Linked DNA regions of Macaca fascicularis. The protein of the gene in region 1 interacts with the protein of each later gene in a pairwise test. Links are inferred from orthologs where the notes say so. Each region holds a gene or a part of one and is shown in the gene's direction. Other genes may lie near its edges.

Region 1 (10,914 bases):
TAAATCAGGCTCTTATCTTCATGGTTCACCATTTTGAATGTCATGAGAAGGCTGTTATACTCACCTTCTTCCAGAACTATGTCCTTATTCAAACACAAGGAAGGAAGAGGAAATAGAGTTCCTCATTGTGATGTTCTCATATTTTTCTGGATGGGAAATCTCAGCACACTTCATCTCACATCCCAGCAGCCAGAGTCAGGCCATATGGCTGCCTTGAGACTAGTCAATAGTCAACAGATGAAGGGCATCATGGAAAATGTAGGCTATGATTTAACCTCTGGCATTGAAATAGAGGCTTATTTGCCTATACATCAATAGGTTGTGCATTCTGCCTGAACAAATTGAGGCTTAGCAGGGATAAAGAAAACCATTAAGTAGTTAGTGGACAATAAATATTACAATTTGTATTTTGTAGTGGACAATGTTGCAATAGATATGACCTAAATAGGACTGGATTTGTCAAAATGAATTATTTATGTCATATGCTATCTTCAATTGCATCTTTATATTTTTATTTGTATTTTTTTGGCAAAATTGAATATGAGAATATTCTATTTCTTAGTGGACAGTTACAAGTGTTTAAATTCCTCTATATTTTTAGTTACATTGGAAAAATATGCAATATTGAAAAAGTGCAGCCGGGCGTGGTGGCTCACACCTGTAATCCTAGCACTTCAGGAGGCTGAGGTGGGTGGATCACGAGGTCAGGAGATCAAGAACATCCTGACCAACATGGTGAAACCCCATCTCTACTAAAATACAACAAAAATTAGCTGGGCCTGGTGGTGCGTGCCTGTAGTCCCAGCTACTCAGGAGGCTGAGGCAAGGGAATTGCTTGAACCCTGGAGGCAGAGGTTGTAGTGAGCCGAGATCATGCTACTGCATGATCAAGACTCTGTCTCCAAAAAAAAAAAAAAAAAAAAAAAAAGTGGCATTGTTTTCATCAAATTTCAAAAACAACAAAAATGTAGGTCTTATTCCTGTATTTACAAGGGAAATTTCAGCATGAAATTATGTCCTTTATCTTTTCTCAGGTCTCAAAGATGAATATGAATTTAGATTCCATTCATCGATTAATTGAAGAAACACAGATCTTCCAGATGCAGCAATCATCAATTAAGTCACGTGGTGACATGGTGACACCTGCCTCACCCCCCAGGGATACCTGCTTCCCACTTCATGGGCTACAATCTCATGCTGCTCACAATTTCTGTGCACACTCATGTAACACCAACAAATGGGATATTTGTGAAGAACTTCGCCTGCGGGAGCTTGAAGAAGTCAAGGCCAGAGCTGCTCAGATGGAAAAGACCATGCGGTGGTGGTCAGATTGCACTGCCAACTGGAGAGAAAAATGGAGTAAAGTTCGAGCTGAAAGGAACAGTGCCAGGGAGGAAGGAAGACAACTCAGAATAAAACTAGAGATGGCGATGAAAGAATTGAGTACACTGAAAAAGAAACCGAGTTTGCCACCTCAGAAGGAGGCATTAGAAGCTAAAGACACCCAGGATCTGAAGCTTCCTGGTTTCACAGAAGAAGCCTGTGAACATAGAGACCAATTTCAAGTGAGTTCACAAATGTGTGAGTCCATCAGAGAGTGTTTGGTAAAAAGACAATTTTCTACAAAGGAGGACACAAATAATAAGGTAAGAAAAAAATCCAGAGACTATGTGAATATCTGAAGGTCATAGATAGTGATGGGGAGGAAGAAGGAAGTGACAAATCCAGTGGTGACTATACTAGTCTGCCAGCGCTATCGTAAAAACGTACCATAATCACAGTGGTTTAAGCAACAGAAATTCATTTTCTTATAATTATAGAAGCTAGAAGTACAAGATCAAGGTGCTAGCAGGGTTGGTTTCTTCTGAGGCCTCTCTCCTTGGCTTATAGAAAGCCATTTTCTCCCTGTGTCTTCATATGGTCTTTTCTTTGTACACATGTCTGTGTCTTAAGTTCTTCTTGAAAGGTCACCTAATGAGCCTAATTTAACTAAATCACCTCCTTAAAGGCCCTGTCTCCACCAACAGTCACATTCTATGGTACTGGGGATTAGGACTTTAACAAATAAATTTTGAGGAAACACAAGTTCAGCCCATCCTAGTGGTTTTACTAATCTTTATAGAAAAAATTAACTCAGCATTTTTCATTTGAAAAGAAAATATTTGGAGACATTTCTTTCCATTTGCCTTAATTATGTCTAAATTGTAAACAATCCATACGTAGTTTGAATAGTTCTCAATGTTTGGGACTGAAGCCTCACGATTAACTACTCATAAAATGGGTACTGCAGGCAAATAGGGTACCTTAGGAAATGCTTTATATGGACCACTGATGGAATTTCTTGCTATACTTAGAATCTCAGTTTCTGAGAATTCTGTACAAAGCACATGGAACTTTAAAAAGTCTCTCAGTTTATACACTTATTCATCCATGAACCACCACCCTGTTTTTTCTTTTTCTTTTATTTTAACTTGGTAAATAATATTAACAACCCAAAGAACATACTTTGGGAACTCCTGTTACCTCTTATTATAGTTTCAGTTTATTTTGTTACCTCTTTCTACTTAATTCCTTCTCTAACACGCATTAGTTAATATCCTGCACCTCTACCATTGCATTTAGTATTTTAAGCCATTCTATAATGTATATAATTTATGGTAGGTAAAACCTAGATTTAACTATAAATAAAAAAATTAAGAAGATTGCAATACAATGATTACTTCTGCTTATTTGGTCTTCTACGTTTTCTTTTAAAAATGTTCAAAGCTGATAATCTGGGCTTTGTGTGTATCTTTTGGAAAATCACATATATTCTCAAAACTCAACTGTATTAATGTATGCGTTAGAAGAATGCAATGATGAGGATAAGGGAACATAGCTCACATCAAGTTCTCTAAATCCACAAAACGTTTTTATTATTACAAGTTACTAGCCTCTGCATTTGAGAAAATGAAGGATTCTCTTCACATGTATTATGATGGAAAATTCTCAATATTTTGGGATTTCTTCTGAAATATCTCCTTAACATTAATGTCAAGAACAAATCAAACATAATACTTATTTATTAAAAATGTATTTATTTGCAAAATATCCTTCCAGATATTCCTTCTGATGGTAGGAAAATAAATATTACCTGTTGAAGAAGCTTCAATCAGTTTTTTCCTTAAAATTTTGACCAGTATCTTTGCCAACTCTATACCCAACAAGAAAGATATGTATATGTATCCTCAAACAACACATCTTATTTTATTGTTTGTCAAAATATTATAGTATAGATGATTGCAATGATCATTCTTGAGAGAATTAAGGAATGATTCATACTGGGTAACCTGGCATTCACATACTACTTAAAAAATAAAATAAAAGTGAAGTATCATCGAGATTTTACTTGAACTTGACTATTCATTGAGATTTTATTTGAAATTGTCTTTCATTTTAAACTTATAAACCAGGGCAAATTTAAATTGTAGGCAAATACCAACTGCATGAGCCCTGTGAGGTTTTTGAGTTACGCTCTAAGAGTGTTGATGCAGTTGTTGCTCTAGTATTGATGCCCATGTTTATTAAAGTGCCCCATTAAATTCTATTTGAGATGTGGCTCATGAATTAAAAAAAGGGGAACTAAAATAAAGCGATAAGCAAGCTTTTTAAAATATTCAAGAGCTTCCTGAAAATTCTATCTTGTCTTTCAAAAATGTTAAAAAATAATTACTTTGAAACTGTAAGTGTCTTATGACAAAAGAAACTTGAAAGAGGAATTCATCAACTCATTAAAAATTATTTACAGCTGTTCAAGTTTGTGCATGATTATTTTTAGCGTGATTAGAAAAAGAGAACAAACAGAGTTAAAGCAGAACTTTTGAGAAATGTATTTTTTTTGTAAAGAGGTAGAACATAGAAAAAAATAAGTTTGAAGAAGAATGCAAGTAAGTGTGGCCACACAACGCTTTTAGGGAATGATAATGAAATTAAAATATCAATTTGTTGTTGTATCATAACATGTATTTCTTTATGAAAATGTATTATCATCATGATTTTTCTCCAAGAGGTTTAAATTTTTTTTTTTTTCAGGAAGAAGGTGTGGTTATTGATTCTCTAAAATTAAGTGAGGAAATGAAACCCAATCTAGATGGTGTTGACTTATTCAACAATGGTGGTTCTGGAAATGGTGAAATGAAAGCTGGGCTGAGACTGAAAGCAATAAATCTGCCTTTGGAAAATGAAGTAACTGAAATTTCAGCTTTGCAGGTGCATTTGGATGAATTCCAAAAAATCTTATGGAAGGAAAGAGAGTAAGTGCTAATTATTGTCTCCCTTAACCAAGTCTAACTTTCAAACCACTTAAAATTGTTAATACTGATAGATTGGTCATTTGATAATGTATTTTATCCATGTTTAGTCATTAAGTTTTAGGATTTAAAGAAATTAGTTTGACAGATATTCATATTTTGAATTTTAAAAAGTAGTATATAACTTGTTAGTGTTTTTCATTCTTTTAAGTTGACTTTTATCATGACTATGTTTTTATCATCTCTGGTAGATTCACTTTAATTGTATCTGAATTCTTAATGTACAAGGTTAAAATATCCAGTGTGTTATTTAATTGTTACAGCATCTTGGACTTGGTAAATAAAAAATGGATAAATATGTTAATACTAATAGCAGAAAAATCACAATTTTGTGAGATATTGATTACAGAAAAAGTTGTCTGATACATGGACCACTAAGGGCATCAGGCTTGTGATTAATTGGCCTGGATCTTCATGTATTTCAGATCTGATGTACATCAGATCTTTGTTCTGATGTATTCCAACTATGTGATGTCGGCTGTTGCCCCTTTGTGAAAATAGCTGTAGTGCTGTTATGTTCCAGTTATCTATTGTCTTGAAACAAACTTTTCCAAACAATTATCATTAAAACGTATCAACAGCAACCACCATGTCTTCTGTTCAAGAATCTTGAGCATGCCTTGGCGTGGACATCGAATCTCTCACTTGTGCCTTCAGTTGCAATGGCTCAAAGGCTGGCCATGCCTGGAAGGCTGGGGGCTGCAGCCTCTCTCACTCATACGTCTGGCCTCAGTTCTCATCTAGGCCTCAGTTGGGACACCTGCACTGGGGCTATTTAAAGGGGTGCTTGGCTTCCTCACAACACTGGGGCTAGGCTGCAAGTGAACATCTTAAGAACACAGAGAGAAGAACGCCATTTGAATGACTCTGCCTCAAAAGTCACGTAGCATCACTTCAGACCCATTATCGGTGGTGGGAATCTCAAAGGCTGACTCAGATCAAAGAGAGAGAAGCACTTTCAACGGAAGGAGTGTCAAAACAATTGTATAATAAGGGCGTGTGGGATGCAGTCATTGTGGCAACGGTCTTTGCAAAATACAGTCTGTCATAGCCTTTCTCAGTGAATTCTCATAAAGATCAAGAACAAATAACATCTGGGAAAGAGGATAGTAATATGAAATATTCAATATGGATTTTTGTTTCTTTGCAATCAGTTTACAATTTTATTAGCACAATGTGGAATATCTAATATATAAATGTGGTTCCAAAATCTAAAAATAATTACTTTTATCTCTTAGTTATAAAAGCCTTAATGGGCAGAACCAGAAAAGCGAGAAGGATATGTATGCATATATACACACAATGTATTACATAAGCATATGTTATATAACAGTTTTAATTTTCCTGGTTTGAATGGACTGAAATCAGGATAAATATGCATACTAGCCATTCACAGATACAGTAAGTTCTTTACCACTTATTTTCTGCCAGAAGTTTCTCATTAGTTCCTCTGAAATTTACTAGTGCCACCGATTCCCTTTTTCAGACTCTTCATCTGTATTTCACTAGATTAATAGATTGTGATCATGCAAGCATTTATGTACAGAATAAATACTTATTACCCTATCAAGTGTAAATTCCTAGTACAGGCAACCAACATCAGTAGAAAAAAGAATAAAATTGAATTTAATTTTTAGGCTGGTACATATACTGACAATTTTATCTAGACCTATACATTTCAGTCACATTCTAATTTCTGTGCTTTTACTTCTTGAAGGATTTAACTTTTGGTAATTATAGACTTCTCTCCAGCACTCGTACGATATTACTTCCCTGATGCAGTCTAATGGGAGAAGTGCAGAGCTGTGTTTTTCTAGATGTAAACTTTCCTATTCTAAAGTGTCAGTTTTAAAAACATGCATGTTCTGTCTTAACACGCTTATCCATGTACATATACACAACATGTACTTTTTACTTTCTTGGAATACATGAACAATTCTCAGAGTAAGTACATTCTCCAGTTCTCAGTGACTTCAGTCTATAATCCATAGACAGGTCAAAGAATAAGAGAAAAAAGGAGGCTTTCCATGGCCTTGTCTTCCTACTCTCCTCTTTTAAGAAACAATCCCACGGACTTGATGAGTCATGGTTCCTGTGTCCATGAATCAACATTTGCATGCAATCCGCATGAGGCAATCACAGTCTTTTTTGCTATCGCAAGAGAACATTTTCCAAGAATATAGGATATGCTATTACTTATAAATCCATCTAATCTTTTAAATTCTTCTTCCTGGAATATCAGTGAGTGGGTGGCTTGAATTGAGATGTGAATGTATTTTTTTCTGCATTCCCATCTAGTGGGAAAATTCTCTTCTTAACTAGTGCACAGAAATCAGCTCAGAAAACTCAGGGACTCATTTTTTCCATTGTCCTTGACTAGAACCTCTTCATCAAATAGAAGAAACTTTATTGTTTTATTTGCGCTCTGAGTACTGTTCAGTTTTATGAATAATTCTCCAGCATTAAAAGTTTCTCATATACTGAGAATTTATATATTTCTGATGACTTTCATAAAGACTTCCCAGGTAGAAAATTTAGAGGAAGGCCAGGAAAGCTGATCCTCTTAGAGAGCTATGTGTACCTAAAAATTTAGGAAGCTGAGGTTGGCAATACCGAATCTCAAGTAACAGAGACTGAGATAAAATATTTTGAACTGTTCTAACATTCAGAATCAGTTTTGAAATTTCACTGCAGAGACCTCCTTTATCACTTATAAAATGTTTGTTCTGTGTCCTTTAAGCTGAGCTTCAGTCCTCCTTTTCCATTTCATCTTTTTTTTTTTTTTCTTTTCTTTTTGAGACAGTCTCGCTCTGTTGCCCAGGCTAGAGTGCAGTGGTGCAATCTCGGTTCACTGCAACCTCAGCCTCCTGGGCTCAAGCCATCCTCCCACCTCAGCCTCCCAAGTAGCTGGAATTACAGCCTGTGCCACCACGCCTGGCTAATTTTTTTTTTTTTTTTTGTATTTTTAGTAGAGACAGGGTTTTGCCATATTGCCCAGGCTGGTCTGGAACCCCTGGCCTCAAGTGATCTACCCTCCTTGGCTTCCCAAAGCGCTGGGTTTACAGGTGTGAGCCACTGTGCCCAGCCCATTTTATCTTCTTAATTTATTTTATATATAAGAAAAGTAGTATGCTTCAATTATTTTGTTTTGCTTCATTAAATGTTCAACTTTTTTTCATAATGAGATTTAAAATCTAGGTGAGAAGTTTCAGCAAATTAAAAATGCTTCAAAGGTTATTATTTTTGGTCTGTGTATGAAACAGACAGATTTCTACTTTACATATATATATATAAAGCATATATATATATTCCTCAATTAATGAATACATTGACATGCAAATCTAGTTAATACTGTTTATTGTAAAATTTGTAAGTATTAGAAAGTCAAGCTTATTTTGTTTCTTTATTGTCACTCATGGAATATTCAATAAATCTTTACCATCTTTTGACTCTCCAGTGTCTATTTTGTGTTTCGGCAATTTGCTACCAAATGAAACAGAGTCTACACCTGTGCATAGATTATAAAAATACCAGTAAGTCTCTACCACGGTTTCCTTTGTAATGAGGGTACAGACACTTGACTTAGGAACAGTGTATCAGAGGTGGCCGCCTAGAGTTTTAAGCCAAGCCAGTACCCCAAGGCAGTAGACAGCATCTAGAATCCATGCCTGAGGGGGAAGCAGCAGCAGTAAAGAAACTCGTTTCCAGAGGCAGCGGTGGCCTCTGGTGCCTAGTGACACCACTCACTGTCCCATATTGGTGATCTTGAGGTCCCACTGTGATGTCTGTACCTTAATGGTGGCCGAAATAGTGTGCTTACAGGAAGATTTCGATGGCTTTCTCATCAGTGTTCCTGGCTGCATGTATTCCCCAGAAATTTTTTGAGCTACAATATCCTTTTCCACTCAAATTAGCTAATTTGAATATGTTTGCTTGCCAGACCATAATACCAGGACAGTGTACAGGCAACAGACAGAGGAGGTTACAGGCAGTGGGGTCTTCATGGGACCAGTTTTGTGGCATGAGAGTGGGTCTTCGTCCCTGTCTGCTTCATCTGCAAACCTTGTTCTATGATTCTCCTGGAGATCGGAGCTTAACAATATTCTTTAAATACTTATCTTTTCTAATTAAATTAATTGTATATGGCTTGGCTGTTTGCAACAGCCGAGTGCTAACACTCAGTGCTGAAAGATGTAATTATGAATAGTAGGAAGTGCAATTGCAAAATGACATATATGTTGTTTAAAGTATATTTGTAAAAACTTGTTAACAGTTTAATACTATCTCTAAATTTTGAACTGTTATAAAAATGAATATCTGCGTGTTATTACAAGATAATCATTTGATTTGGTAAGAACATTTTTATATTAATACACCCTTTCAGAAAATAATGATTCAATTTTTTCCAGTGAAACTTCCCACAGTTCAACAATGATTAATATTTATACCTAGATATTAATTTTTAGGACTTTTCATCCCTGAGAAATATTTGAGTAATATTATTGTCTAGAAATTTAAATTTTATTTCCAATTATTGTGGAATTGTGACAGTAAACAAAGCATCAAAAAATGCATGGAAATATAATCACAACTTTTCATAAAAATAATTTTGGTTCATATTTTATATTTAGATTCTACAAACTTTATATATTTTAGCAATATGATTTTTTTAAAGTTTATATCATCATATTAAAGATACTACATTTTTGCTAAGCTTTGCCTTTTTAATTTCATTCTCATGAAGAATGTGTACATAAAATATGCAACATTTTAAATATTAAGTGTTTGCCTTCTTGTAGCTCAAATGCTCTGACAATAATATACAGCTCAATTATAAATTTAACTATATTATTCATCAACTTTGAAAATCTCTCTGAAACACAGAATAAAATGATTAGGCTAGAAAATTAAGGACTTATAGAGTGCCCTCTGCTGCATAAATTTAGACACGCAATGTCCTTAATGCTGGCACAGAGACACAAAAGTTTATGATGGGGCTATCTAAATACTAAAACAATTTAAGTATCCCATTGTCATTAAATAATTTTTTATGAATTCCTTTTTTTCTCACTCCCCTAACCAAATTGTAACCTTTTTCATAATAAAAATGCATAATTTTCCTTTAGGAAACAAATACATATCAGATATTTTCTTTATGTTGTACACTTGAGGTAAATATTACTTTCTTCGAAAATTTTTGAATTTATTTTGAGTTTCTAAATTATCATTTGATTCATTAAAGTATAACATCAAAAGCAGACATTTGATTTCACAACATGTATGATTTTAACTCTAGGTAATTTTCAAGTATGTTTCCATTATTCTATTATAAATAAAATAATTCTCAAAATTAATTTTAAGGAGAAACATAAATATATGCTTCATTACACAAATACAGTTAATTAAAATCTTTTATAAAATTATTTTATTAATTTAACATATGCCATTTGCTTTTCAAGTTTTTCAGTTACCGACAAGACATTCCCACGTCCTACTCAAGAAAATCTAAAAAATTAAAATTATAAATATGGTGATTCTTATCTTAAACATTCCAATGAAGTTACAAACTTAGTACAATTTTATTATAATTTTCAATATAAATTCACAGGTCTAAGTCAATATTCAATATCTTTTAAATATTCTAATTTATCACCCAAAACTTAAAATGCACTCAAATGTTAGATATGCAATATAGTTCATCTTACAATGATTTGTACACATAATTTCTAAATCTAACACAAAATACTAATACTGATTTGTTTATTATTTCTATATTTAATTCTTTTCCTCTCGTCATCTCAAACACAACTACTGAAACACAAATTATATCATAATAAGCAACTTGGGTGTCCTCAGCTGGCTAGGTCTACTTTTCTATCTGAAATTGTGACTGCTGTGGTTAATCTGGATTATAAACATTCATATTCAGTGTTCGTAAGACCTAAACTTTCAAGTTGAATCTTTTTGTTTGTTAATTTTGTTTAATATATTTGCTATGTTAATAAGGGATTCCGGATCAGAGTACTGTAAGTGGTGCTTTGCACCATTTTTTTTTTTGCAACCTGTCTCTTTTGAGGTTAAGCTAAGCTCTAACTAATTCTTTTATATCCTCTTTCAATTTTATGGCTTGATTTATGTAAATATAATTATATAACTTTTTAATAGACTGCTTCTCCATTTGATTGGAGTAAACTAATGTATTTACAGTCTGACACTACTTTGAATTATCATAGTATTGTTACCAAGAAGAATCATATTTCTTATTAATATGTAAATGACATTCAATTTGGATTCTGCCTGCGTCTTCTAGCTCTGTGAATATGTTCCTAAGATCTTTCTAGTCACATTTAATATCACTGAAATAGAACTGTATATTAGTTAATTATGAATACAATAACTATGTGACTAACAATCACAAAATCTCAGTGTCATATAACAATCAAAGTGTATTTACCTGGTGCTCAAACATATAAGTTCTTTTCAAACTTTTTTTTCTGTCATCTCTGCTAATATCTCATTGTCAAATCCTAGAATTGAGGAATGAGGAAAACAACTCTGTCCGTGG
Region 2 (10,914 bases), on another chromosome or scaffold:
CATGCCTGTAATCCCAGCTACTCCGGAGTCTGAGGAAGGAGAATGGCTTGAACCCGCGAGGCGGAGGTTGCTGTGAGCCGAGATCGCGCCATTGCACTCCAGTCTGGGCAACAAGAGCGAAACTCCGTCTCAAAAAAAAAAAAAAGAAAGAAAGAAAAAGAAATAAAGAAAAATAAAGAAAATCTTTAAAAATACTGTTTCCTGATTGCTTATAACACACTCCCTCTAACCCTGTCTGCAGGTGGGTCACAGTCCAAAGACCCTATTTCCAACCCTGACGTCCCATTGCGGGCAGTACTATGGCCTCACGGGAAGGAAAATAAATCTAGAAGGGAATGAGGTACACAACCATTGATAGGTTCCTGGGATAAAAACTTTGCTTTGTCGGCCGGGCGCGGTGGCTCAAGCCTGTAATCCCAGCACTTTGGGAGGCCGAGACGGGCGGATCACGAGGTCAGGAGATCGAGACCATCCTGGCTAACACGGTGAAACCCCGTCTCTACTAAAAATACAAAAAACTTACCCGGGCGAGGTGGCAGGCGCCTGTAGTCCCAGCTACTCGGGAGGCTGAGGCAGGAGAATGGCGTGAACCCGGGAGGCGGAGCTTGCAGTGAGCTGAGATCCGGCCACTGCACTCCAGCCTGGGTGACAGAGCGAGACTCCGTCTCAAAAACAAACAAACAAACAAAAAAAAAAACAAAAAACTTTGCTTTGTCGACACCAGCCTGGCCAATATGGTGAAATCCCATTTCTACTAAAAATACAAAAAATAGCCGGGCGTGGTGGTGGGCGCCTGTAGTCCCAGCTACTCGGAAGGCTGAGGCAGGAGAATCGCTTGAACCCAAGAGGCGGAGGGTGCAGTGAGCCAAGATCGCACCACTGCACTCCAGCCTGGCGACAGAGCGAGACTCCGTCTTAAAGAAAAAAAAAAAAAAAAAAAAAAAACTTCGCTTTGCTTTCCCGCCTTCCAAGAGGAAGGGGCGCATCTCCGAGGAAACAAGGCCGGGGAACCCGCGGCTCGCACGGCATCCTCTCATCCACACAACCCGAGGACAGCTCCCAGGGGACGGCGGACCACGGTCAAGGTCCTCTTTTCGGCCCTTCACAACTCCAAGCTCCGCCCTACAAAACCCCCTGCAGTCCTACCAAGTCACTCCCATGGCGTCGGGCCAGGAAGGCGGCCGGATCACACGGTAGAAACGCAGGGTTCCCTATCCGCCCACAGAAACTGCTTCAGTTCCCCAACACAACCTTCGGTCTCGGAAGAGACTCCGGAAATACGTAAAAACAGAGCGCCGGGTCCACGCCTTCCCCAAGGAGTGGGGCGGGTCTCAGGGCCCCTCGGTGACACCTCTAGTGACATCATCTGCGGATTCCCGCCCACAGGTTTCTAAATCCAGACATTCTCGTTTGGCTGAGCACTCTAGGCCTAGACCCATGAAGCTAAGAGCGACACTCAAAGACTGCACTGTTGAGAGAAGCTAACGTTAAAGGCTGTAAATATATTGGGGAGTCCAGCACCGGAACCCGGGAGCTCTTTTAGTGGGAGGGGCGGCGCTGATGGCGCTTCTGGCCTCCGAATGCTAGGGGGCGCTGTGATCGCCGCGTGGCCTCTTGAGAGCCGGGAGTCCACCGCGCAAGCGCAATCTGGCTTTTTCGCCGTCTCCACGTGCGAACCTCCGCGGCAACGTTTTCGAGAAAAATGCCCAAATTGAAGGCGGCCCGTGGGGTCGGGGGTCAGGAAAAACATGCGCCCCTGGCCGATCAGATCCTGGCTGGGAATGCGGTGCGGGCAGGGGTCCGGGAGAAGCGGCGGGGTCGCAGGACCGGAGAAACGGAGGAAGAGTATGTGGGACCCCGGCTGAGCCGGCGGATTTTGCAGCAAGCACGGCAGCAACAGGAGGAGCTCGAGGCCGAGCATGGGACTGGGGACAAGCCCGCGGCGTCGCGGGAACGCACCACGCGGCTGGGTGAGTGTCTGGGATGAGATCCGAGGAAGACAGTGGCCAGTAGTGGGGCGGGGTGGACAGCTAAAAAGTGTCTGGCAGGGGAATTGCTTCGAGTCAACAAAGGGTCCGTATTACACTTGCAAAAGTAATGGAATGGGAGACTGAACCCTGTTCAGAGCCCTCCGCGTCCACTCCTAGTTTTAGGCACTCCCTTCTACACATCCCCTAAGTTAGGCCAACAGTAATCGCTCGCTCCACCCTAGCATTTATCCATTGGTTTTGTAAATATATATGGGATACCCACTACGAGCTTTGTACTATGCTCGGAGTTCTATCGAATGTTTGGGTACAGAAGTAAACAACATAGGCACGTCTGACTTAAGGACCTTACAGTCAAGCCCAGTAGAGAGTCAATTAAGTAGACTCTTAGAATAATATTTTTCTATGATAAAGTGTCGCTTCCCTGGTAACAATAGCATTGGTCTTGAGAAGCTTCTCCGATTGCAGCAGGACCTTTTAAGTTGAGAACTGAAAAACGAATGGGAAGTGTTATGAGCAGAAAACACATTGTTTAGCAGCCAAAGAGGGAGAGAGATGAAAGACGTTTGATATTTTCTCGCTAGGGAGGGAGTGTTGACCTCTGAGATGCTTCATCCGTTTTCCAGATCTCATCTAAAGCAATATTTGACGCAATTGAATAGTGGCCTCCTGGCCACAGTATCCTTACTTGGGTTTTAAGACATCAACACTCCTGTTTTACTGCCACCTCACTTCTCAGTATCCTTGACTGACTCTTATTGCAACCTCTTATCCTCAGTCCTCTGACCTCTTCAAATATTCTCTGGTGCTGGCAAGTTTCGTGGTTTAAATACCATCTCTTGGGTGACTACTCCTAACTTTATAGTCTAGCCCTGACCTCTTCCATGAAATCCATATTCTTATATTCAACTGCCTATTTGGCAACTCCAATTTAAAATCTGACAGCTCAAATTTAACATGTACAAAACAGAAATCTTGACCTCTCCAAACCTGCTTCTCTCACCATTGTCTTCCCCGTCAGTAGCGTATTCTTTCATTTGCTCAAGACAAACTTTAGACTCCTGTATTTCTCTCTCCCCCTCTCTCCCTCTCTCCCCCGCCCCATCTCCTCTCTGTCTCTCCCTCCCCACATCTGATCTGTAAGAAAATTCTGATGACTCTGCCTTCAAAGTATATTCAAAATCAGACCACTTTTCACCGCTTTGGAACACCATCCTGTTGAAGCCACCACAATCTCTCACCTGGATTATCACAGTAGCCTCCTCGTTAGTATCTCATATTCTCCTTTTTTTCTTTTTCTTTTTTTTTTTTTTTTTTTGAGATAGAGTCTCTCACTCTGTCACCCAGGCTAGAGTGCAGTGGCACAATCATAGCTCACTACAGCCTCAATCTCCTGGGCTCCAGCTATCTTTCCCACCTCAGCCTCCCACATAGCTGGGACCACAGGTGTGTGCCAGCATGTCCAACTAATTCTTTTTTTTGTTGTTGTTGTTCTTTTTTGAGACGGCCCAGGCTGTAGTGCAGTGGCACGATCTCAACTCACTGCAACCTCTGCCACCTAGGACCAAGCAGTTCTTCTGCCTCAGCCTCCTTAGTAGCGAAGATTACAGGCATGAGCCATCACATCCAGCTGATTTTTGTATTTTCAGTAGAGATGGGGTTTCACCATATTGGCCAGGCTGGTCTTGAACTCTTGACCTCAAGTGATCCGCCCACCTCAGCCTCCCAAAATGCTGGGGTTACAGATGTGAGCCACCTCACCCAGCCACTAATTCTTTAATTATTTGTAGAGATGAGGTCTCACAGTGGTGCCCAGGTTGGTTTCAAACTCCTGGGCTCAAGTGATCCTCTCTTCCTTGGCCTCCCAAAGTGCTGAGATTACAGGTGTGAGCTACTGCACCCTGCCATATCTCATACTCTCTACAAAGCACTCCACAGGTAGGGGATTACAATGGTCTACAATGCACTTTATGATCTGCCTCCTTTACCAGTCTGACTTCTACTGCTTTCCTCTGCGCATTCCACTCCACCTATACAGGCTTCATTGTGCCTTAAACATGGGAAATTAGAGCGTTTGGCCTGGTTGTTCCTTCTCTCTGGGATAGTTTGTTCTCATACACTTGTAGGGTTACTTTCTCAGAGAGGCCTATCTACTCCATTTACGATTGCAGCACTCTACTCCATCTCCATACTCCCAATATTTCTGCCCTATCTTTTTTCATAGTACTTTTTTTTATTTTTTTTTTTTGAGACAGAGTCTCGCTCCATTGCCTAGGCTGGAGTGCAATGCTGTGATCTCGACTCACTGCAACCTCCACCTCCTGGGTTCAAGTGATTCTCCTGCCTCAGCCTCGTAAGTAGGTGGGATTACAGGCGCCTGCCACCACGCCCAGCTAATATTTTTTTTTTGTATTTTTAGTAGAGATGGGGGTTTTGCCATGTTGGCCAACCTGGCCTCGAACTCCTGACCTCAGGTGATCCACCCGCCCCGGCCTCCCAAAGTACTGGGATTACAGGCATGAGCCACCACACCTGGCCCATAGTACTTATATTTTAACCCAGTATATTTGTATGTTTATTTATGTCTGTCTTTTCCAATTAGACAGGATCTGGTGCGTTCAGAGTGGTATGGTCATAGACTGTCTCATCCAATTAGAATGTAAGCTGTATAGAACAAAGTCTTTTGATTTCTCTTGTTCATGGATATATTGCCAGCACCCCCAACAGTGCCTCACATATAGTGTAGGTGCTCAGTGTTTGCTGAATGACTGGGTTAATGGGTAATGAATGATGGTCAGGTAGGTAGGAGCAAACTTGCAAAAGATTTAAAAACCATCCTTACAGCAATAGGAAGAATGGAAAGCTACTGGAGAATTTTAAGTATAGGGCTAATCAAATCAAATATGTGTTTCTGGAAAATTACCGTCTGCAGAGTGGAAAATGAGTTGGAGGGAAGCAAGGTCAGAAACATGGAGATGAGTGGGTGACTGTTGAATAAATCCAGGCAAGAAATGATGCTGATCTAGGCTTAGATGGGGCTGTGAAGCATGTGGGAGACAGTCTATGAGGTAAAATTGAATAGGATTTAGTAATTGATTGGGTGTTGAGGGTGAGGGCAAGGGATGAGGCAGGAGCGCCTCCCAGGCTTAGCACTGGGTGGACAGTGGTACCATTTACTGAGCTGTGGATGGTTAGCATTATAGACCTAGGAGGGAAAGAAAATTAATATAGTTGATGACAGGTGAGATTTGAGGTGACTGTGAGTCATCCAAGAGCGGCTGTACAAGAGACACCTGGAGTTAGGGTCTGGCGCTAAGGAGAACCACCTACAAAGTACACATTTGGGAGATTGTTGGCATGTGGAGACAAAATGTCTGTTCCCCCTTAGCGTTTATCACATACTGCCACTGCCTTTGTTGTTAATGACCTATTGATACATAGCATTATAGTTCCCCACTTGGATTATTAGCCCCCCTTTCCAGATGCCCAGACATGTAGCCTTCCAAAAATGGAAGTTATTTAAATGGACTACTTCATTTATTTTATTTATTTATTTATTTATTTATTTATTTATTTATTTGAGACGGAGTCTCGCTCTGTCGCCCAGGCTGGAGTGCAGTGGCGCAGTCTTGGCTCACTGCAAGCTCCGCCTCCCGGATTCACGCCGTTCTCCTGCCTTAGCCTCCCGAGTAGCTGGGACTACAGGCGCCTGCCACCATGCCCGGCTAATTTTTTATATTTTCAGTAGAGACTGGGTTTCACTGTGTTAGCCAGGATGGTCTCGATCTCCTGACCTCATGATCCACTCGACTCAGCCTCCCAAAGTGCTGGGATTACAGGCGTGAGCCACCACACCCGGCCCTTTTTTTTTTTTTTTTTGAGATGGAGTCTTGCTCTTTGGCCAGGCTGGAGTGCAGTGGCGCGATCTTGGCTCACTGCAACCTCCAACTCCCTGGTTCAAGCGATTCTCCTGCCTCAGCCTCCCTCCCAAGTAGCTGGGATTACAGGCGCACGCCACCACGCCCAGCTAATTTTTTGTATTTTTAGTAGAGACAGGGCTTCTCCTTGTTGGTCAGGCTGGTCTCGAACTCCCGATCTCAGATGATCCACCCACTTCGGTCTTCCAAAGTGCTGGGATTACAGGCATGAACCACCATGCCCAGCCAACTTCATTTATTTAAATAGACTGGTGGATTGAAATCTGAACTCCACTGCCTGACTTTAAAGGCCCTCCAGTCTGGCTTCACCTTTCCCACCTACCTAGCATTATTTATTGCTATTGCCTAGGAGACACTTAAATCTGAAGCCTTATTTTCTCCGCGTCTGGAACACACTCCGCCTGCTCCCAAACTGCCCATCCAGCGTCTAACTGTCCTCGCCACTCATCCTCTAAGTGCATATGTCGTCTCTACCACTCATTGTGGCATATAATCAAACCCTAATATGTGTAGAATAGTGGTGAAGAATGCAGTCTAGACCCAGACTACCTGTCTTGGGCAAATTATCAACTTTTTGGTGCTTCAGTGTCCTCATCTGAAACTGGGTATAATAATAGTATCCGCGGCCGGGCGCGGTGGCTCAAGCCTGTAATCCCAGCACTTTGGGAGGCCGAGACGGGCGGATCACGAGGTCAGGAGATCGAGACCATCCTGGCTAACACGGTGAAACCCCGTCTCTACTAAAAAAAAATACAAAAAACTAGCCGGGTGAGGTGGCGGGCGCCTGTAGTCCCAGCTACTCGGGAGGCTGAGGCAGGAGAATGGCGTAAACCCGGGAGGTGGAGCTTGCAGTGAGCTGAGATCCGGCCACTGCACTCCAGCCTGGGCGACAGAGCAGACTCCGTCTCAAAAAAAAAAATAATAATAATAATAGTATCCGCTTCTTGGGTTTATTTTTATTTATTTATTTATTTATTTATTTTTTAAGTTTTTGCCAATGTTCCGTAAGAAGGTTTATTTATTTTTTTTTAATTTTATGTTTTTTTTTTTTGCCAGCATCTCACTGTCGCCAGGCTGGAGTGCAGTGGCGTGACCTTGGCTCACTGCAACCTCCACCTCTTGGGTTCAAGCAGTTCTCCTGCCTCAACCTCCCAAGTAGCTGGGACTACAGGCACGCACCACCACACCCAGCTAATTTTTGTATTTTTAGTACAGACAGGGTTTCACCATGTTGACCAGGATGGTCTCAATCTCTTGACCTCATGATCCGCCCACCTCAGCCTCCCAAAGTGCTGGGATTACAGACGTGAGCCACCACGCCCGGCCACTTCTTGGGTTTGTAAGGATTAAACAGTTAACATGGGTACAGTGTTTAGAAGTTCCTTCTACAGGCACGGCGCGGTGGCTCACGCCTGTAATCCCAGCACTTTGGGAGGCCGAGGTGAGCGGGTCACTAGGGGTCAGGAGATCAAGACCAGCCTGGCCAATGTGGCGAAACCCCGACTCTACTAAAAATACAAAAAATTAACTGGGTGTGGTGGTGGGTGCCTGTAGTCTCAGCTACTTGGGAGGCTCAGGCAGGAGAATGGCATGAACCCAGGAGGCGGAGCTTGCAGTGAGCCGAGATTGCGCCACTGCACTCCAGCCTGGGCGACAGAGTGAGACTCTATCTCAAAAAAAAAAAAAAGAAGTTCCTTCTACATAACTGAGTATGGTATGTTAACTATTACTTATGGCCATTTCTTTCTCATTGTTTCCTGTGTATACGTTTTGTTTCTCAAGCGTGATTGCAAGCCCCTGGGGACCGGGAGCTAATGCATGCCTCATTTGTTTCACTGCACATACCTGTGTCTATCACAACCACATGTGAGGCCTGTACTACATAATGACTAAAGTTAAACTGACTAAATCCCTCAGCTACCTTTTGCTGTGCTCATCCATTTAGTCTCCTCTCTTCTAGGTCCAAGAATGCCTCAGGATGGATCAGATGACGAGGATGAGGAGTGGCCCACCCTGGAGAAGGCTGCCACAATGACAGGGGTGGGCCACCATGCAGAGGTGGTCGTGGACCCTGAGGATGAGCGTGCCATAGAGATGTTCATGAACAAGAACCCTCCTGCCAGGTAGGTCTGGGGATTTGGGATAATGGGTGCTTGTAGAAAGTTCCCACAGGAAAACAAGTTCCCTGGCAGACTTACGATTCCCTACTTTAGGAAAGGGCCCTGGAGTTGCTAGTTGTAGGGGACCACCTTGACAAAACTGGCCCATCCTCAGCAGACCACTGTGAGTGGGAATGACCCAGCCTCAGAAAACATTGTATCCTTCTGTCCATTTATTGTACAACTGCCCAGTTGCCAGGGAAACAGCTCCAGGCCCGTTTTACACCTCTGGGGAGAGCCATCCTATTGCATCTGGTTTTGGTATTCTTGGTTTTTTTAGTGGTAAGCTCAACTTCCTTGGACAAGTGTTCATATCCTAAGCTTCATTTAAGCCAGGGTTTTTCAACCTCAGCATTATTGACATTTTGGGCTGGGTAATTTTATATGTGTGTGGAGGCTATCCTGTGCAGTGTAGGATGTTTAGTAGATATCTCTGATCTCTACCTTCTAGGCTCCAGTAGCAACCTTCCCTCTAATTATGAAAACCAAAAATGACATCAGACGTTGCTAAATGTCCTCTGGGAGGCAAAACTGCTCCCAGTTAGGACCACTAATTTATTCCCATCTATAATAAATGCTGGCTCCAAAACATGCAGGCATTTAGACTGCCTGTGGTCAAACTCCTGAGCCCATAAATTTTGGCCGTGGGGAGTGGAGTCTAGGATAAGGGTCCTCAACCAGTTCATTCTGACCCTGTGATACTAACATAATGGTGTCCCTGATACTTTAGATTGTTTGGGGTTAATGCATCTCTCATTGCTAATTGTACTGTAAAAGCACAAGGAGGCTGATAAATTCTGTGGCAACTTATTTGAAAATGCAGAATGAAGAAATAAAAATGAGCTCCTCTCCCAGATTGATGCCTAACAGTTGAAATATGTGTCACAAAATACGTACTCGGGCCTGTCCCACCAGAGAGCCTCTCAGGTTCTCATTCAGCACCTCATAACTCCTACTTCACTGATAACGCTGACAAATTTAGCAGAATGCTTTTCCAGCTTGCAGTAAATAGAATAGACAAGCTCCTTGAAGTAATCAGAACTTCTGGCAGTTGTAAGAAATGATAGCTGGCGTCTTCAGAAAGCAAGCCTAGATCCACATGAATTCAACAGAGGCCATTTAGTTTGGGGGCACATTATAAGGTACTATAAAGCATCTTAACTTAAGACTTTCAAAAACCTGAGTTTGACTCTTAACCCCACCTGACGGCTGTGAGGCCCAGTTGCCATGTCTGCGTAAGTTTCCATGTCCTATAAGTGTTGCACTGACTCTGGGACTGAAAAGTCCCAGACTCAGTGCCTGGCGTTGAGTAGGACCTCAGAAAAGAGGAGCAGTTTGTTTTTTGTTTTGTTTTGTGACAGGGTCTCACTCTGTAACCCACACTGGAGGGCAGTGGTGTGATCTCAGCTCACTGCAACCTCAACCTCTCGAGTAGCTGGGATTACAGGCGCACACCACCACGCCTGGCTACTTTTTGTTTTATTAGTAGAGACGGGGTTTCACCATGTTGGCCAGGCTGGTCTCAAACTCCTGACCTCACGTGATTCACCTCCCTCAGCCTCACAAAGTACAGAGATTACAAACACGAGCCACTGCACCCAACTGAGGAGCTTTAAATACATGTCAGTCTGGGCATGGTGGCCCAGACCTGTAATCTCAGCACTTTGGGATCCCAAGGCAGGAGCCCAGGAGTGTGAGACCAGCCTGGGCAACATGGGGAGACCCCATCTCTACAAAAGAATAAAATACGGCCGGGCGCGGTGGCTCAAGCCTGTAATCCCAGCACTTTGGGAGGCCGAGACGGGCGGATCACGAGGTCAGGAGTTCGAGACCATCCTGGCTAACCCGGTGAAACCCCGTCTCTACTAAAAAATACAAAAAAAAAAAACTAGCCGGGCGAGGTGGCGGGCGCCTGTAGTCCCGGCTACTCTGGAGGCTGAGGCAGGAGAATGGCATAAAAACCCGGGAGGCAGAGCTTGCAGTGAGCTGAGATCCGGCCACTGCACTCCAGCCTGGGCGACACAGCGAGACTCCGTCTCAAAAAAAAAAAAAAAAAAGAATAAAATACTAGCTGGGCCTTGTGCTATGTGCCTGTGGTCCCAGCTACTTGAGAGACTGAGGCAGGAAGATCGCTTGAGCCAGAGAGATAGAGGCTGCAGTGAGCCGTGATGGTACCACTGCATGCCAACCTGGGCAACAGAGCTAGACTCTGTCTCAAAAATAAATAAATAAATACACTTCAGCAGCCTCTGAAGGCACTGGTATTATATGACAGCTCAAGGTGATAGTAATGCTGAATCATTAAGATAATGTTTGATATACCCAACAATACTGTGTTTAAGGAGGCTGAAAAGAACATAATCAGTTTTAGAAATACTTCCATAGATACACTGCTGTGTACTGACCGTTGCAAGTAATGAACAGACATTAACTTATTTAATCCTTCCATTAATCTTTTAAGGTAGGTACCGTTATTATCCCTATTTTACAAATGAGGAAACAGAGGCATAGAGAGGTAAAGTAACATGCCCAAGATCATACAGGGAGTGGGTAAGCCAGGATTTGAACCTGCGCAGACCGATTTCAGAATTGAGATTCATAATAACCTCCATACAACTGCCAGCTTTGTCCTAAATGGAATGACTTTCAGTTCCTTTGCACCCTGCAGTGATTCTGTCTGTGGTGGATGAATGGGCACAGAGAGGGAACTCTGAGCTGCGCATCCCAGCAGGATCGCAGTATGTCAGTGCTCACAAGGGACTGTGGGGAATCTGGAGCTTCCTGGACAGTGACCACAGTGCTCCTTCCTTCCTCTCTCCCCTCCCCTTG
Region 3 (10,041 bases), on another chromosome or scaffold:
GGCGTAGGGGGTGTGTGTTTTAAGACTTTAAGCCAGTTTTGTCCCACTGAAATTACCGTCAGTGATTTTTAGTAGAAAGTGGTGGTGAGAAGACCTGGGATTCAATCCCAACACTTACAGCTACCTAACCTCGGGCTAGTGACTATCTCTAAGCCTGTTTGTTCTTCAGCCTAAGGCATATACAGCAATCTACATTGCCAAGCTCACAGAATTCTTGAGAGATCAAATGAGATCTCTTAAGTTCTTTGCTGTGATGGATTCCTTTGACTTTGTCTCTATTATTATAGGCTTATAGGTCCGGGGCAACTACCAATCGTTATTCAAAGGGGAAAGCACCCTGTTCGAAATCAAGTAAGAAAAATGGTTTATATTCCCGGTCTGCCATCTCTATTCTAAGCTTTATCTTTATTTAGCTCCCAGTTAAAGGGGGAATAGAGCCACACCCACCTCACAAACGCCCCGAGGACTGGGAGACCAGAAAAGTAAAAGCCACTTGCAAACCTAATTTAGCTCTAAGTCGATAAAAAATACTATCATATGCTCACATTTCTAATATTTGCTAATATAATGTGATCTTTATTTTGAAAATAATGTGCCTCCAATCCTAGTAAAGAGAAAGTCACGGCATGCGACTCTCCCTTCAGCACCAACTGGCCTCTCACGCGAGACTCGGCTTTCACGCTTTAGTCCAGGGCTGCAAGGCAGGCGGAAGAGAAGCGCCTGTGGTGACGCACTTATTCCGCGCGATGACGTGACTACAAGGCGCCGGGGGACACGTTGGCTGGGTTTTCGGCGGGCTTCCCGGGGACAAAAATGGCTATGGCTAGCGATTTCTACCTGCGCTACTACGTAGGGCACAAGGGCAAGTTTGGGCACGAGTTTCTGGAGTTCGAATTTCGGCCGGACGGTGAGAAGAGGCCCACGGCACGCGGTGCTGGGAAAGGGGAGCGAGACCGAGAGGCCGTGGAGGAGGCGAGGGGAGGCCGGGTGGTGTGGAGGGTACAGGGGGCGGAGGCCACTGCTTCCCTCGAAGGAAATAGGAGCTTAAGAATAGAGGAGGCCTAAGTTGGTTTTATAAATGAAAGAGAACTAATTGCAATAAATTAAAGCTAATCCTGTCGCAAACTGAAAAGTCGAACTTACAGTAATCAGAATTCTGTAACTGCACCAGAAGGGACTCTGTAGATTGTTGACCTGGATTAAAAATGCTAGCACTTTTTTGAAAACACCCCCATCAGCGGGTGGTCCAATGGATGAATAAAATCTTGTGGTGACCAGTACCTTTTCTTCATTCAGGCTGTGTGTGTTCTTTGAAGGGGAGGAGCCCGACGTGTTAACAAATGAGAATAATAATATGTTTTAGGTGTCTACGTATAATTGTTCACCACAGGACGCATGAAGAGTACCAAAAAAGAGGGGAGATGTAAAGTTCCACAGGAGGGAGTCAGGAAAATCTTCCTAGAGGAAGACACTCTTGAGATGAGTCTCGAAATGAGAGACTTGGCCTTTGAGAGAAAAAAACAGACTTCCAGAGCAGTGAGAGCAGAGGACGAGGTGAAACTGCTACCCCAGTAGCGTGCAACAATTTGTTTTCTGACAGCGCTATTAGAGAATGTTACATTGGTCCTGCCTACCTGCAACAAGAAAGTTCATTTGGATATATATGTTTTGGTTTTTTTTAAATGCACGTTTTTTGCTGGGCAACAAGCAAATACAAAATTTGAAGGTACACTAATGAGTAAGACAAATTTAACTCAAAGAGATTTGTCTTGGTGGGGACACAGACATTTAACTATAAAGCAGTAGGTATATTAATAAGCAGGCTTTGGACAATGTTCTGTGAGAGCAAGAATAAAAAATTAGAGGAGAAACGTATATTAGGAAAGGAGAAGAGTATCAAGCATTTCAGGCAGAACTCAGGTGAACTACAGTCCTGCAATTATTACTTTGAAACAGAGTCTCACTCTGTCACTCAGATCTGAGTGCAGTGGCACGATCTCAGCTCACTGCAACCTCCGCCTCCCAAGCTCAAGTGATCCCTCACCTCAGCCTCCCGAGGTGCTGGAAATACAGGCCAGTGCCACCTCGCCCATCTCCTTTGTTGTTGTTGTTGTTGTTGTTGTAGAGATGGGTTTCCGCATGTTGCCCAGGCTGTCCTCAAACCCCTAAGGTCAAGAGATTCACCAGCCTCAGCCGCCCGAAGTCCTGGGATTACACGCATGAGCCACCGTGCCAGCCCTGCAATTATTTAGAAACCTTAATCACTGTATTCGACCTTACTCTCCCCATAAATTCAGCTAAATTTACCTGAATTCATCTATTCTTTATGTAGTATTATTTTCAGTTCCTCTGCCTGTGAACACCGTCAAGCTTGTCTCTATTACTTTTAGCAGGTCACATAAATTAAGCACCTGAATATTATCAGGGAAGTTTTATGCTAGAACAGTGGTTCTAATCAATGTATCTGCCACTGCACTGTTACACATACTTCTTCTATTGGTAATATTGAGTCTCCCGAAGACCTGCCTGCCTGCCTGCCTGCCTGCCTGCCTGCCTGCCTGCCTTCCTTCCTTCCTTCCTTCCTTCCTTCCTTCCTTCCTTCCTTCCTTCCTTCCTTCCTTCCTTCCTTCCTTCCTTCCTTCCTTCCTTCCTTCCTTCCTTCCTTCCTCTCTCTCTCTCTCTCTCTCTTTCTTTCTTTCTTTCTTTCTTTCTTTCTTTCTTTCTTTCTTTCTTTCTTTCTTTCTTTCTTTCTTTCTTTCTTTCTTTCTTTCTTTCTTTCTTTTTCTTTTTCTTTTCTTTTTTTCTTTCTTTCTTTTTTTTGAGACAGAGTGTTGCTCTGTCACCCAGGCTGCAGTGCATCTCAGCTCACTGCAACCTCTGCCTCCTGGATTGAAGCGGTTCTCCTGCCTCAGCCTCCCGAGTAGCTGGGATTGGAGGCATGTGCCACCATGCCCGGCTACTTTTTCATATTTTTAGTAGAGATGGGGTTTCTCCATGTTGGCCAGACTGGTCTCGAACTGCTAACCTCAGGTAGTCCACCTGTCTCGGCCTCCCGAAGTGCTGGGATTACAGGCGTGAGCCACTACGCCTGGCGCCAAGCCATCAAAGACTGGCATTTCTATCATTTTAGAGTAACTGCTGCACCTTATAGCTGTGTCTGGGCAACTGACTAGCCATAAGGGGAAGCATACATCAGATAATACACAAATCATGATGGATTAAAATTAAATATAAACTAGCTAACAAACTCATCAACTTCGATCCAGAAGCATCGTTTGTATCCTTCTTAGTCATAATTCTAAAATGTCTACAGTATAATTGTATGCATACATTTGAAGGAAAAAAAGGAACATTTTTTTGTAGTGGAGAAAGCCTGAGTATTAAAAGAAAGTAGATCTAGGTCTGAATCTCCCATGTTTAAGTTACTTAACTTTGTTTTCTCTCTTATGAATAGGTGAGAGAATAAAACCTGATTTTTAGGATTGTTTTACAGATTAGATTAAATTCTCTGTGTAACGCACTTAACACCAATACATACATATAACAAACTTGAATGTTAGTGCCTTTTGCAGATTCTCTTTCTAGTTCATGATGTAGCTTAAGAAAATAGGCTGTAAAAATGACCCTATATCTATATGTTGTAGGCATAGACTATTTAAATATTTGGCTATCTTCAACTTCAGCAAACTTAACCAGCAAATATTTATTGTCTACATGTCTAACAATGATTTTACACAAGGAGGGAGGAAATAATAAAAGTAGTATAAAATGGTCTTTACCTTTAAAATTGTATATGATGTCATTAATTTTTTTTAGCAGTTTTTGCTATTGTAAATTGATTTTTTTCCATTTCCCACAGGAAAGCTTAGATATGCCAACAACAGCAATTACAAAAATGATGTCATGATCAGAAAAGAGGTAAGTTCTATTCGAATGTCTTTTTTTTTTTTTTTTGCATTTAGCCCATTTTCTTCAAGTCTATGTTGAATTTACAAAAGTACATCTAAGGCTATATTGTAAAGAAGAAGGCAATTTACAGATTGAAAGAGTTGCCATTTAAATTAGATACAATGGTTGCATCCATAGGAATGAGAAGGTTCAGAGAACTAACCTTGTTGTGAACTACACTTGCATTTATTTATTTATTTTTATTTTTATTTTTATTTTTATTTTTTGAGACAGAGTCTCGCTCTGTTGCCCAAGCTGCAGTGCAGTGGCGTGATCTCAGCTCACTGCATCCTCTGCCTCCCAGGCTCAAGCGATTCTCCTGCTTCAGTGTACTTGCATTTATTACTGTTCACCTTATAGATCTTGTGATCTAACCACTTGGGGGTATTTGGATCTTAATGTTACAAAGGCAGAATACAGTGTTTCAAAGATGGGTAATGATGAGAAGAGGGAAAAATAAATGTGAGAGGAAAGGGCAAGAGATGAAGAAAAGTAATATAACAAGGATAAATTATTCTCTCTCATTCTCTACTTTTGGAATCAATTAAATTTTTCTATATTCCTCTATTTGAATATTCAGAGTTTGTAACTCTTATTTCTTTCTGAGTTGAGGGGTGACATAGGTGGACATTATCCAATTTTATTATGATTAATTTTTAGGCTTATGTGCACAAGAGTGTAATGGAAGAACTGAAGAGAATTATTGATGACAGTGAAATTACAAAAGAAGATGATGCTTTGTGGCCTCCCCCTGATAGGGTTGGCCGACAGGTTTGTATTTAGTGATTCTTTAAGTGCATAAATATTAAAAATTGATAATACTATTATGATTCCCCTTATTTATTTTGAATGAGTCTAAGTTGATTCTTTGGCTTTCCATTTAATAGACACCTGGTAAATTCTCTTTAATTTTGTCTTTTAGTTCCGTTTTTCTGTGCTACCTCCTAGTAGTGAAGGAGTCAGTGCATAGCTCTAAATTTAGATATCTTTCTCTGTAGTCACCCTAGCCAACATTAGGATGCTTTCACAGTGCAGTGTTATGAATAATTTCTGTTGTGTGTTAATCACTTTTATTAAGAATATGACTATGTAAAATTTACTTTTGCCAAATCATAACTTTTAAAATTCTTATTTGCATCCCTATACCCCAGAGAGAGACTTGATTGGTGGTTTCTTTGTTAAAACTTATGATTGCATTTGCCTCTCATATTCCTTCAGAATACTTGATGTTTCTCAAAAGGCTTCTGAAGAACTCTGAAGGCCTAATTTCACTCTGTAAAAAGAAATTTTGGTTTCTGAATTGGGTCTTTTCAGCTCTTGGAGAAATGAGATACAACCCCTGGAAGGAAGAAACATTTAATTTCACTTTTGTGTATCCCTGAGGATTGTACTTTATATCACCTTCTTTGAGTAGAAGAAAATGTGGAGAGATCTAACACATGCTGACACTCTGTAGGAGTAACTTAACTCTTCTGTTTAAAGAAACATTGTTTAGAAGAGCAAAGGTAATAGTTAACAGTATTTACTTTAATCATGGTATCACTTTTAAAAAGCAAATTTAGGCCTCAGTTTGTTTTATGCAGATATACAGATGTACTAAAAAGCAAACCACAGCAGCTAACCTTTTATATCATTTAGACTCAGGGAGAGCCTAGTATTTTATCTACTTGCTTAAGGATGTGTTCATGGGTTTTGGTTAGTGGGGAGGAGTAGGCATGCTTCAGAAATTGCCTTTTGTATCAGGTCAAAGGTTTTATGGCTGTTAGAGCATCTTAGCTAATTCTCCATTTGGTGTGTGTCATAAACTGCATAATTAGGCCTCCGGTTAAATAGCTAGGATTGTCTTCAACAGTGTCTGTTAACTTGAAAATTCATTACAGATACAGCTTCTTAATTATTGGTTTTAGGCCTGCAGAGAAACAATATAGGGAAAAATCTATACAGTAATGACAGCACACTAGGAACATCTACAGTATGGTTTTTTTTTTTTTTAAACTAGTTCTTAATTTTAGTTATTTTGTGGAGTATTAGTTTTGAAGTCTTACAGTCTTGGGATCAAATATAAGTACCATCCTCATTAGTGGTTATAAATATCAACAAGTGTTTTCCTCTGCTTTGTGAGTTTTGAATTACACATTTGTAAAATAGGTTAATAAGGGTATTTTCAAGATTACAGAGTATAAAGTCCCTAGCACTAGAGCCTGACATACAGTAGGTGCTAAACTGGTGGTGGTGGTTATTAATATTATACATTTTATTTGTAGAATCTTCCAGAAAGAAAAAATATGTATTTGTCATATTAAAAATGGTCTTATACTCCTATCATTTTTCTAACATGTGCTTCAAAGTGACGTCTTCAGTTTTTACTGACATTGTAAGAAATATTTCTTTGTCATTTTGTTTCATAGTGTCTTCTTTATGTCTCTGGAAAGCAATTCTTTGTTGGTCCTAAACTTGGGGGTAGTACTCGTGAGCAGTTTTTATTTTAAGGATATAGTTTATATCTAATACACCAAGTTTCTTTCCCCTCACCACCCCACGCCCCGTTGACTGCTAGAAAACTTGCAACTAAAATTGGGATCCGTTTGTAGCAAGAATACAGATATCTCTGGGATAGATTTATATATTAACTACATTTTTCTGCTATTTTTTTTTTAGGAGCTTGAAATTGTAATTGGAGATGAGCACATATCATTTACCACATCAAAAATAGGTTCTCTTATTGACGTAAATCAGTCAAAGTAAGTATGTTAAAGCATTTTGGCCAAGTTGTCATTATTAGAGAGGCTCATTTTAGAACTATAGTATAGTCAGTTTGTTAGCCAAGATAATTTCAGTGGCCTCCTATCAGTTTATTATGCAGATGTAATTGATTTGTATGTCATTAAAGGCTTACTATCTTGTCTCTTAGTAGAAGTTAGCAGAGTATTTCATCGATTGTCCAAAAAATTTTAATCCAACAGCTGTATATAATAATGCCCAAATTGTATTAGCTATTTTGTATAAAAATGTGGATATAGTATCAGAAAATCCGAAGAAAAGAAGTCCTTATTGGATTATATCAGCCTCATTAGGTCCATGTCATCTCACTTTCCTCCTTGGGCTCAATACTTGGGAAAAAGATGGAAAAAATCCAGTCTAGCCTAAGTATCCTTTACTACCAATGTCTTCCCAAGATCGATCTCTCCTCCGCCCCAGGGTTTTGTAGTACATCCCATTTTCTTGGTGTGATCCAAGCCACTTATTTGTGCCCATTCCCCTCAAAGTGTCCCATAGTGCTCTTCCCTTTTTCTGTCACTCTAAATTGTAATAACCTATTTGTCTGCTTTAAGTAAGCTCCATGAGAACCTTGCTGTATCCACAAAGTTAGCATAGTGCCCTGCACATAATAGATGCTTTCAATATTTATTAGAGGAAAGGAGAAAGGAATGAATGCATAATGACTATTGGACACAAAAGTCTGTGTTCACAGAGACCAACTGGATGCTTGTAAACTATGAAATTTCTTTTCCTACATTTGGTGAGGATGTGGCATTGATACCCTACTGGGATTATAAATTGGTAGTGGTTTTTGGAAAGCAGTTTGGTAATATGCATCAAAAACCGTTGACATTTTTCATTCACCTTTGGCCTAGTAATTTCATTTCTGAGCATCTCTTCTATGGAACTACTCCTAAATATTGGAAAATCTTTATTATGCATGAAGATGCTCATTGAAGTATTATTAATAATAGGAAATTAACCCCGTTGTCTAACAGGGAGAGAATTATTAAATTAATTAAAAATTACTGGGGAATTTTTTTTTTTAATGCTGTGGGGAAAGCAATGTAAAAAGGGGCACAGGGAATGATTTTAGTTATTATAAAATAGAGAAACATCAAAATGTTCACAGTTATTCTATGAAATGGTGGCATTACGGTATTATTTTTTCTGCTTTATTAGACATTTTTATGATGCGGTTATGACATTCATAAGGAGATGAATCTTTAAATACTAAAATGAATACTGATGAAGAAACTTTTTTTTTTATAGAAAAGATATTCATTTTATGCTGTAGTTGTTGGCAAAATCCTTCCCTTCTCCTAAATATTGTTAACTTAATTGTTAAAAGATTTTAATTTTGTTTTGTTTTAGGAATTTAAAGAATTGTTTTATCCTAGGAAGAAAAAGTAACTTTTACCTTTTTAAATTTTAGGGATCCTGAAGGTCTTCGAGTATTTTACTATTTGGTACAAGACTTGAAATGTTTAGTTTTCAGTCTTATTGGATTACACTTCAAGATTAAACCAATTTAAATTGTATGTTTTCAAGCTGTTTGTATATTTAATTAAGGGATGGGAGGGGTTATTTGTCATTTACAATATTGGGGTTTTTATGAATGTGAAGCGAACAAAAAAAAATTTGTATGTAAACTGAAAATAAGAAAATACATTAGCCAGCTTAATGGTTATCTTTACTTGAGTCCACATGGGTTGGACATTCCCCACACATATTAAATTCTGTAAATAAAAGCCACCTTTTGTTAAAAATTTGCTCTAATAAAACATACCAAATCCTGGTTGCAGAGTAGTTTTTTGTTTTCTCTAGGAGGCTATGTCTTTAATTCACTTGAGAGATAATAAGAAATTGTTCTGGTAGGTATATCCTGTGACAGAAGATACTTTAGGTGGAAATATGTAGCCATATTCCCATCCATGAAAGGCAATTGTAGATCTTCCCTTATTTCCTTCATACATGATTGGTTTTAATTTTGGGGGGCTTACAGAAGGTCTGTTTTGTTTTGTTTTGGTTTGGTTTTACAGTTATCACAAACCCCTCAGGAATTATTCACATTTAAATATTTTCAATTATAAGCAGTGATGTCCTAAAGTGTTACAAAAGTAAAGTCTACCCCATGTTAGGCATATCTTCGATTATGTCCTTGTTCCTTATTTCACAATGTATTTGGTGTGTAGGGGAGGAGAGGAACTAAATGAGTTTTCAGCTTTATAAATTGTTAAACATTTAGATAAACGTACATGTGCGTATGAATGGACAGAAATATTTTAACTCCTATTGACCACGGGTCTCACTTAAGTTTCCCAGTTCCTTTCAACCTCTTTCTAATAGATTTCCTCTTTCGTTACTTTTAGTAACCATGTCCTTTGTTTCCTTTTATTCTTCCATCTGAACCTCCACTCTTTAAAAGTTATACTGTTTCAGTAGTTATAATCCACTTGCCCTAGGAACAAGTTAGCACTGACTTTTGGGTGGAATAATTAGTTTCTGAAGGCTTGCCAGGACTCCTGAGCAGCTAGGCTCTAGAGTTGGGCTGTCTAATAACTTTTTTGCAATAATGGAAATGTTCTATGTGCAGTCCAGTAGGGTAGCCACTGGCCAAACGAGGCTACTGATTACTTGAGGTGTGCCTCGTATAACTGAACTTACCGTGTTATTTAAACAATTTTTTTTTCTAACGTGAAAAGGATAAAACAAAACTCTTGACAATTGTAAAGTGAACACCTATATGCCAACCTAGATTCTATACTTAACATCTTTTTTACTGTAATATCTCTTATAATAAATCTTAGTTTTTCACTTAACTGGTGTAATTGGTGCCAGTAAGCTATTTTATTTTATTTTTTTTTGTAGTGCTACTTAATTTTGATTAAATTTAGATAGCCACATGTGTCTAGTGGCTACCCTTTGGACAGTATAACTCTAGAGCATGGCTTGGTAACCTGTTTGCCATGGAGCACTAGATGGTCCTTTTCACTCCTCAAAATGCATGCCCATTGTCTTCAGATTTGCCGTGGAAAGTCAAATGATTTCCACTTCATTATGCAAGTACACCATCATCTTCAGGTCTTTTGTAAGTGAAATATTTCTGTTCCAGTTGTAGACCATGATGACTGTGCAGTATGAAATCGTCTTATAATTTTCTTGCATTTAGATGTCAACCTCAAGAAGAAAGAGGAACAATCGCCTTTTGAACTTCCAGTGGGCCCACAGTGTTTGGTTGTTCCTCAAAATAACCTTCATTCTCTGGCTCCGTTGAATAAGCTGATCCATTCAAAACTGAACAAGGTTGAGGAGAAATCGTGCTTATATTAA

The links.
Region 2: the proteins of CCDC102B (region 1) and BYSL interact in binary tests that used the Homo sapiens proteins (3 or more experiments, as listed by UniProt). The two-hybrid records come from large-scale screens. The link is inferred for Macaca fascicularis from reciprocal best matches to the Homo sapiens genes CCDC102B and BYSL.
Region 3: the proteins of CCDC102B (region 1) and MAGOHB interact in binary tests that used the Homo sapiens proteins (3 or more experiments, as listed by UniProt). The two-hybrid records come from large-scale screens. The link is inferred for Macaca fascicularis from reciprocal best matches to the Homo sapiens genes CCDC102B and MAGOHB.

The regions. Positions count from the first base shown.
Region 1 is NC_088392.1:11,815,891-11,826,804, reverse strand, and holds part of CCDC102B (coiled-coil domain-containing protein 102B), read left to right. Parts: intron 1-1,034; 5' UTR 1,035-1,043; coding exon 1,044-1,646; intron 1,647-4,071; coding exon 4,072-4,292; intron 4,293-10,914. UniProt on the Homo sapiens protein: During interphase, forms fibers at the proximal ends of centrioles to maintain centrosome cohesion. During mitosis, dissociates from the centrosome following phosphorylation to allow centrosome separation. Contributes to CROCC/rootletin filament formation.
Region 2 is NC_088378.1:129,639,613-129,650,526, reverse strand, and holds the start of BYSL (bystin), read left to right. Parts: upstream 1-1,638; 5' UTR 1,639-1,702; coding exon 1,703-1,970; intron 1,971-7,886; coding exon 7,887-8,049; intron 8,050-10,914. Other genes in the region: MED20 (mediator of RNA polymerase II transcription subunit 20), read right to left, coding at 1,147-1,160. UniProt on the Homo sapiens protein: Required for processing of 20S pre-rRNA precursor and biogenesis of 40S ribosomal subunits. May be required for trophinin-dependent regulation of cell adhesion during implantation of human embryos.
Region 3 is NC_088385.1:10,340,993-10,351,033, forward strand, and holds MAGOHB (protein mago nashi homolog 2), read left to right. Parts: upstream 1-751; 5' UTR 752-813; coding exon 814-907; intron 908-3,859; coding exon 3,860-3,918; intron 3,919-4,608; coding exon 4,609-4,719; intron 4,720-6,606; coding exon 6,607-6,689; intron 6,690-8,143; coding exon 8,144-8,243; 3' UTR 8,244-8,506; downstream 8,507-10,041. UniProt on the Homo sapiens protein: Required for pre-mRNA splicing as component of the spliceosome. Plays a redundant role with MAGOH in the exon junction complex and in the nonsense-mediated decay (NMD) pathway.